Linked DNA regions of Oryctolagus cuniculus. Each later gene encodes a partner of the first gene's protein in a complex. Links are inferred from orthologs where the notes say so. Each region holds a gene or a part of one and is shown in the gene's direction. Other genes may lie near its edges.

What was found. Proteins that work in one complex are often made in the same cells at the same time.
Region 2: the proteins of ACTL7A (region 1) and TES are in contact, whole or in part, in a crystal structure (PDB 2XQN), measured with the Homo sapiens proteins. The link is inferred for Oryctolagus cuniculus from reciprocal best matches to the Homo sapiens genes ACTL7A and TES. Residues at the interface, in NP_006678.1 of Homo sapiens: Leu28, Gln29, Thr30, Ala31, Ser32, Leu33, Arg34, Asp35, Gly36, Pro37, Ala38, Lys39, Arg40, Ala41, Val42, Trp43, Val44, Arg45, His46; in NP_056456.1 of Homo sapiens: Asn311, Glu312, Tyr313, Thr314, Gln315, Ala316, Glu317, Leu323, Phe326, Leu335, Ala336, Gly337, Glu338, Ile339, Tyr340, Val341, Tyr353, Pro370, Glu371, Val372, Gln373, Arg374, Val375, Thr376, Tyr377, Ala384, Phe389, Leu398, Ile399, Gly400.

Annotation. Positions count from the first base shown.
Region 1 is NC_091432.1:212,560,444-212,564,191, forward strand, and holds the end of ACTL7A (actin-like protein 7A), read left to right. Parts: 5' UTR 1-1,791; coding exon 1,792-3,114; 3' UTR 3,115-3,244; downstream 3,245-3,748. UniProt on the Homo sapiens protein: Essential for normal spermatogenesis and male fertility. Required for normal sperm head morphology, acroplaxome formation, acrosome attachment, and acrosome granule stability.
Region 2 is NC_091434.1:151,686,109-151,689,624, forward strand, and holds part of TES (testin), read left to right. Parts: intron 1-256; coding exon 257-509; intron 510-1,339; coding exon 1,340-1,675; intron 1,676-2,439; coding exon 2,440-2,655; intron 2,656-3,049; coding exon 3,050-3,208; intron 3,209-3,516. UniProt on the Homo sapiens protein: Scaffold protein that may play a role in cell adhesion, cell spreading and in the reorganization of the actin cytoskeleton. Plays a role in the regulation of cell proliferation. May act as a tumor suppressor. Inhibits tumor cell growth.

The DNA of each region.
Region 1 (3,748 bases):
CCTTTTCTTTCCTTATCCCTACAAGGAGCCAAGAGCATCCCCAGGAACCTCCTTAAGAGAGAAAGCCCTGGGACCGGTGCTGCAGTACAGTGTTGGCATCCTGTATGAGCACAGGATTGAGTCCTGGCTGCTCTACTTCCCATCTAATGTGCCTGGGAAAGCAGCAGAGGATGGCCCAAGGGCTTGGGCCCCTACACCCACATGGGAGACTCGGAAGAAGTTCCTGGCTCCTGGTTCAGCCTGGCCCAGCCCTCGCTGTTCCAGCCATTTGGGGAGTGAACAAACAGGTGAAAAACCCTTCTCCTCCTCTCTCTGTATGTCTGCCTTTCAAATAAATACAATTTTTGAAAGAAAAAAAAGAGAGAGAGAAAGGCCATTACTGGCGTGACATAGAAGAGCAGGGAGCAGGGGTAATGTCCAAGGTGCTGCTTGACATGAGGCAGGGCTCTGGGTGTCCTTAGTGTGGCAGGCCAGCAGCACCAATGCAGCCAGCTTCAAAGTGGCGTACAAGAAAGTGGCCGAGCAGCCTCAGAGATGCAAGTTAGGTCTCAAGGTGCGTCCACAGCATACATCGGGAGGAAGCCAGAGCGAGGAAACTTGGCCATTGCTGGCTGGACAGCACTGAGTGAGCTACGCATCCACAAGCTTCAATATTCTCATCAGCCGGACTCAGCAGGTTCTAACTGCCCACCCTCTGACCCAGATGAAGGAGGAGCAAGCACACAAAGGATGCCCTAAAAACAATTCCTCCTAAGGTGGTCCTAAAGGGTGTTTAGTGTCCTAAGTGAGATAGAAGAGCATGGCACAGTCACCCCAGTAGCCAATCAGCCTTCTAAAATCTAAGTCAAGTGGTGTCACTCTTGTGCTCAAAATCCTCTGGCACTATCAAAGCTCACCCAGGGCCAAGGCCAAATGCCTTGCAATGTCCTATAAGGACTGACACGAGCTACTCAGCCACCCCCACTCCCACAACCACTTCTCCCTTCCTTCCTTGCTCCTTCTCTGCTGGCTTCCCTGGGCTTTCCCACCCATCCTCTAACTTGAGGTTGGAAACTCTTCTCTGTAAAGAGCCAGATGGTGAATACTTAGTTTTCTTCAGCACAATCTCTGTTGCAAAGACTCAGCCCTGCTGTCGTGCTGCCACAGCGGCCGTGGACAGTGGGCGAATGCATGAGCGTGGCTGTGTTCCAACTAAAGTTCCCAGACCATCCTGGGCTGCCAACTGCATTTGGCTGCCATCTGACACCCCCTGCTCTAACCCGCAAGTCGCATGTCTGCCTCCAGTCTTATGCACCTGCTGGACCCCTGCACACACACCTGAATAGATTATCCCTGCTTTCTTCGGGTCTTCCTGCAAGCAGTACCATCTCACAGAACCCTGCCTAGTTTTTGTCCTTCACTCTCAACACTTTCTAATAGCTATTTCTTTTGGTTATTGCCTGTCTCTCCCAACCCCTTCTGACTAGAATACAAAAATAAGCTGTACCAGCACAAAGATTTTTGTTTTTTTCTCCCTTCCTGCTGTATTCCCAGCTGTCTCACTCATAGCAGGCTCAATAAATACTGACTGAATACATCAAAGTTATTATAAACTTTAGAAAAAGGGAGCTGTTTGGAAAACAATGTTCAACCCTGACATGGGACAAAGATTCTCAGTGTTTAGAAAGACTCAGGTCACTGGATTACATCATAATCAGTGATGTCATTATTGGGAAAATTCTCAAGCTCTGCTCTGAGTTAGGCCTTTCAGGCCTTGTAGCCAGCGGGATTGAGGAGCGTTCTGAGAGTAGTATGGCTCTGGAAAGCATGTGGGCTCCACAGGCAGCAAACATAGGTGATGGGCCTGGCAAGAAAGTGGGTGACCGGGCCTCCATGCAGACACAGCTCCTCCAGACAGCCTCCCTCAAGGATGGCCCGGCCAGGCGGGCAGTGTGGGTCGGCCGTAACTCTTCGGAGCCAGAAGAGCCTACAAAATCAACAGTGGCCGAGAGGCGGCCCAAGTTAGGGGTGACCAAAGCAGTGGTCGTGGACCTTGGCACTGGCTACTGTAAATGTGGCTTTGCTGGCCTGCCAAAGCCCACCCACAAGATCTCGACAACAGTGGGCAAGCCCTACATGGAGACAGCCAAGACCGGGGACAATCGCAAGGAGACGTTCGTGGGGCAAGAGCTCATCAACCCAAAGGTTCGCCTCAGGCTGGTTAACCCCCTGCGCCACGGCATCATCGTGGACTGGGATACGGTGCAGGACATCTGGGAGCATCTCTTCCGACAGGAGATGAAGATCGCCCCGGAGGAGCATGCGGTCTTGGTTTCAGACCCGCCCCTGAGCCCACACACCAACAGAGAGAAGTACGCCGAAATGCTGTTTGAGACCTTCAACACCCCCGCTATGCACATCGCCTACCAGTCCCGCCTGTCCATGTACTCCTACGGGCGGACCTCCGGCCTGGTGGTGGAGGTGGGCCATGGCGTGTCCTACGTGGTCCCCATCTATGAGGGCTACCCTCTGCCCAGCATCACCGGAAGGCTGGACTACGCAGGCTCTGACCTGACCGCCTACCTGATGAACCTGTTGAACAACGCCGGGAAATACTTCAGCGAGGAGCAGATGTGCATTGTGGAGGACATCAAGAAGAAATGCTGCTTCGTGGCCCTGGACCCCATCGAGGAGAAGAAAGTCCCTCCCACGGAGCACGCGATCCAGTATACTCTGCCCGATGGGAAGGAGATATACCTCTACCAGGAAAGGTTCCTCTGCGCCGAGATGTTCTTCAAGCCCTCTCTGATCAAGTCCATGCAGCTGGGCCTTCACACGCAGACTGTGTCCTGCCTTAACAAGTGCGACATTGCCCTCAAGCGGGACCTCATGGGGAACATCCTGCTCTGCGGAGGCAGCACGATGCTCAGCGGCTTCCCCAACCGCCTACAGAAGGAGCTAAGCAGCATGTGTCCCAACGACACCCCGCAGGTGAACGTGCTGCCGGAGAGGGACACTGCGGTGTGGACCGGAGGCTCCATCCTGGCCTCGCTGCAGGGCTTCCAACCCCTGTGGGTCCATCGCTCTGAGTACGAGGAACACGGGCCCTTCTTCCTCTACAGAAGGTGCTTCTGAACGCATGATGCCGAGCCACTGCCGTGACCGTGCGGCAGCTTGGCCTGGTGAGCGTCCACCCTCCACGCGGGGAGCTGAGCCAGCACACTCCTTCCTGTAGCATTAAACAGCCCTCATGTTCCCCTCTGCAGTATGTGTTTCCTACTTGGTGAGAACAATCCCACGGATGCGGCTTCTGTTTTAACAATATGCATTTGCCAAAACAAAAGCCGGGGCGGGGAGGAGGATCGATGAAGACAAGCACATGTGGATTGCTTATAAACACTCATTTTCTTGGGAGAAACTTGTCAGTGCACATGGTTGACAGGGCTCAGGGACTTGTTTTCCATTTGTTAGCAGGGGAAGGGGAGGAATGACTGGGCTATTATTTTTCATTTGGGGGAACTCTGTTACAAGTGCTGGGTTTTAGCATTTGGCACAGCAGGTTAAGCTGCTGCTTGCAATGCCAGCACCCATCTACCTCTTATACAGGAGTCTGAAAGTCTCTAACTATGGTCCTTGGTCACACCTGCACTCAACGGCACATACTCAGTGTTCAGAAGGGAGCTGACCTCCTCCCATCTTCAGGGAAAAACCCTAAGAGCTGCCCCCTCATAGCCTCCACGTTTGCCTAGACAGCCTTGGAAGGCCCAAT
Region 2 (3,516 bases), on another chromosome or scaffold:
CAGGCCTCCCCCATTGGGCATACACTTTTAAATCATGACCTAACTTTTCAAATACTTAGAAAGCAAGCCCTGTTTCTGTGTCTCCTCATTTAAATATGGTGTATGCTCATCCCACCCTCTGAAAAAAGGACTTACTTTTGCATTCCATTATATAGAATACATTTAAAGGTGTTTTATGAACTGTAAACTTATGAACATACATGATTATTATTGATGAGTTACAATTAATAATTATCCTGCTTATCCAAAATGATAGAAAAATATGTCGTAACTGCAAGTGTGGCCAAGAAGAACATGACGTCCTCTTAAGCAACGAAGAGGACAGAAAAGTGGGGCGACTTTTTGAAGACACCAAGTATACCACTCTGATCGCAAAGCTAAAGACGGATGGAATTCCCATGTATAAACGCAATGTTATGATACTGACCAATCCAGTTGCTGCCAAGAAGAATGTCTCCATCAACACAGTCACCTATGAATGGGCTCCTCCTGTCCAGAACCAGGCATTGGTAAATAACAGGGTGAAGGGGCATCTGTTAATTTATTTTGGGCAATTCCTTTCCATTTATTATCTCTCTAGGGTTCTCATTACTTTGGCATCGAATGCCTTTATAGTGTTTTGAAAGTTAGACTAGATACTGCCTAGAATTTTCCAACTATTTACATATATTTGCCTTCTTTATGAAATAGTCTAACATTATTAATAATGAGATGAAAATAAGATTTTTAAAACATCAATCTGGTAATGCTGTCTTAGTCTAGAGAAAATTCCTTTAAAATGGTAATGGATAGCTAAAGAAGAGAATTTCTGCCCTTGATTAAAATTGTGAAAAGCATCTCACACTATATTTTTTTTACTGTGTGAGCCAAAAAGCATGCAACTTTGTGTCAGGCTCTTCCTGCTATTATGTAAAAACTAGATGAAAACACAGAAAAGTCTTTTAAGGTTAATTAAATCATCAGAGTGAGTCTTTTGGCGCTTTGGTGGTCATATGATGAACACGCTGCTGGTCCACAGGCTGTGGTTACTGTGTTTACTTTGTGTTCTGTTTTCAGTGGCACCTGTGTTCATTTAGCTCAAGTGAATAGTAGTAACCCAAATCATTTTACAGGCTGGAAAAAAAATTAATGTCATGGAGAGAAATGTGTTCTCTTTTACCCAACTAAATCCACTTAGCATAACCGTTTTTGAATGTTACTCCCCTGAGATCTTTGTACTGCCCATTAGATGGAATAAACCCTCTTCTTCCCTAAGTAGCTTCTGCTGTATGCGATACAGTGATGTCCTGTGTGATGACCAAAGCCTTCCCCAGCTGACCTTGGTCTCCTTGTGGTCCAGGCCAGACAGTACATGCAGATGCTGCCCAAGGAGAAACAGCCAGTGGCAGGCTCGGAAGGGGCACAGTACCGAAAGAAGCAGCTGGCAAAGCAGCTCCCTGCGCATGACCAGGACCCTTCCAAGTGCCATGAGTTATCTCCCAAAGAGGTGAAGGAAATGGAGCAGTTTGTGAAGAAATACAAGAGTGAGGCACTGGGCGTAGGAGATGTGAAACTTCCCTATGAGATGGGTGGTCCCAGCCCCGACAAACTCTACATCCCCGCTGGGGACAGAAGCACGCCGGCAGCCTTGGGGCCCATGGAGAGCAAACCTGCCGAGTGCAAAGGAACTCAGTATGTAAGTGGAGTGGCTGGTTTGATGTTTTACAGCTTCTTTCCCTGTCTTTGAACTTTTTGGATGGGGGGCTCTTTTTCTGTTTCCAAAAGGACTAAGAGAAGTAAGTTTATTGACCCTGAGTTAGACTTTTGTCCTAGCGTCATGAGAAAGCCATCGTGTATGACACTTCTGTCTGAAGCCATATTTTCTGAGTATCTTTTGCCAAGGATAGTTGTGAGTTTGATGCATACAGAGTAGTTGGCATTGGCATCCTGCTTGAATACAACATATGAGTCTAGAGTTTGTTTCTAAACACAATTCTGGTGTTAATTGCTCATCACTTCCCATACATAAGAATAATGTGCGCTTAGGTTAATTCAGTTTTGCTTGTGAGTTCATTCCCAAAATTCAGAATTAAATTTTCATGGCTATATTGTCAAGCTTTTTTTTTTTTTTTTTTAGGTCTCCTAGAGAGGGAAATGTAAATCCTTTTTTAGTAGGATGAAAGTAGAAAACAGTTGTGACACAGATGAGCAAAGAACTAAGCTTACTGTAATACCAAGACCCAGCTAGCAGTCTGCCAGTCAGGCTGGGTCCTGAGAAAAATACCAGCAAGCTCTAACGTCATGAATTTTGAGAGCCTGTGTGTAACATCGAGGTGAAAATTATGATGAGTAGCGTCTTACATCAATGACTAATTCAGGAAACACTGCTGTCGTAGCCCAGGGTGAGAGAAGTGGGTGTTAGGCTTGTTAGGTGACCGTGTTGGATGCCTTCCCTCGCAGTTCTGCTATTGCTGCAAGCTGAGCATGAAGGAGGGCGACCCCGCCATCTATGCCGAGAGGGCCGGCTATGATAAACTGTGGCACCCAGCGTGTTTTGTCTGCAGCACCTGCTCGGAACTGCTGGTCGACATGATTTATTTCTGGAAGAATGGAAAGCTGTTCTGTGGCAGACACTACTGTGACAGCGAGAAACCCCGATGTGCCGGCTGTGATGAGGTATGTTCTCAGGGCCACTCGCATGCGGGCTCCCCCGACCTCCATATGGGCCTTTCCCCAAAAAGCAATAGCAACTAACCCAAGCATGAGTTCTTTATTTCTATCCAAAGAAGTTTAATGAAAAAAACTGTATTTCATTCATTTTTAGTGTCTCTGTCAATTGTAGTGACTAAGGAAAACTGGGCACAGAAACTACTGATTTGGATTTAATGCTAAATTTGGTTTAAATTAATTTAACACGCAAGCTTTAGATTATCATGTTGAAGCTTCAAGCCCCAAGAAAGGATATTGATTTACTTTTTCAGCTAAATGCCTGCTTGTGTAAAGAACCTAGCTTTGTCATCCAAAGCAAAAAGGAAAATGCCCAGTTCATCTTCTTTTCCTGCTTCCCCAGCTGATATTCAGCAATGAGTATACCCAGGCAGAAAACCAGAATTGGCATCTGAAACACTTCTGCTGCTTTGACTGTGACAACATCCTGGCTGGCGAAATATACGTGATGGTCAATGACAAGCCTGTGTGCAAGCCCTGCTACGTGAAGAATCACGCTGTGGTGAGAAGCATTCAGGGGGGATACCTTGACCTCAGCCTGCTTTGAGACTCGAATTTGTGCCTCTCTCTAAGCCTCTTAACAAACAGCAAACAGAGAACTCTCTTAAGAAGAGTGTGTGATTCCTACCTTAGGATGCTAAAATCCAGGCAATTCATAAACAATACATAGACTGTCTGCTAACTCAAGAGTTCTGTTACATGTTTACAGTGTAGATGATAAATGCCACAGGGCAATAAAATCCTCAGTTAACAAAAATAATCCTTGATGGGAATGAGATTGATGTCTTCTCATGGGTGCAGACCAGATTT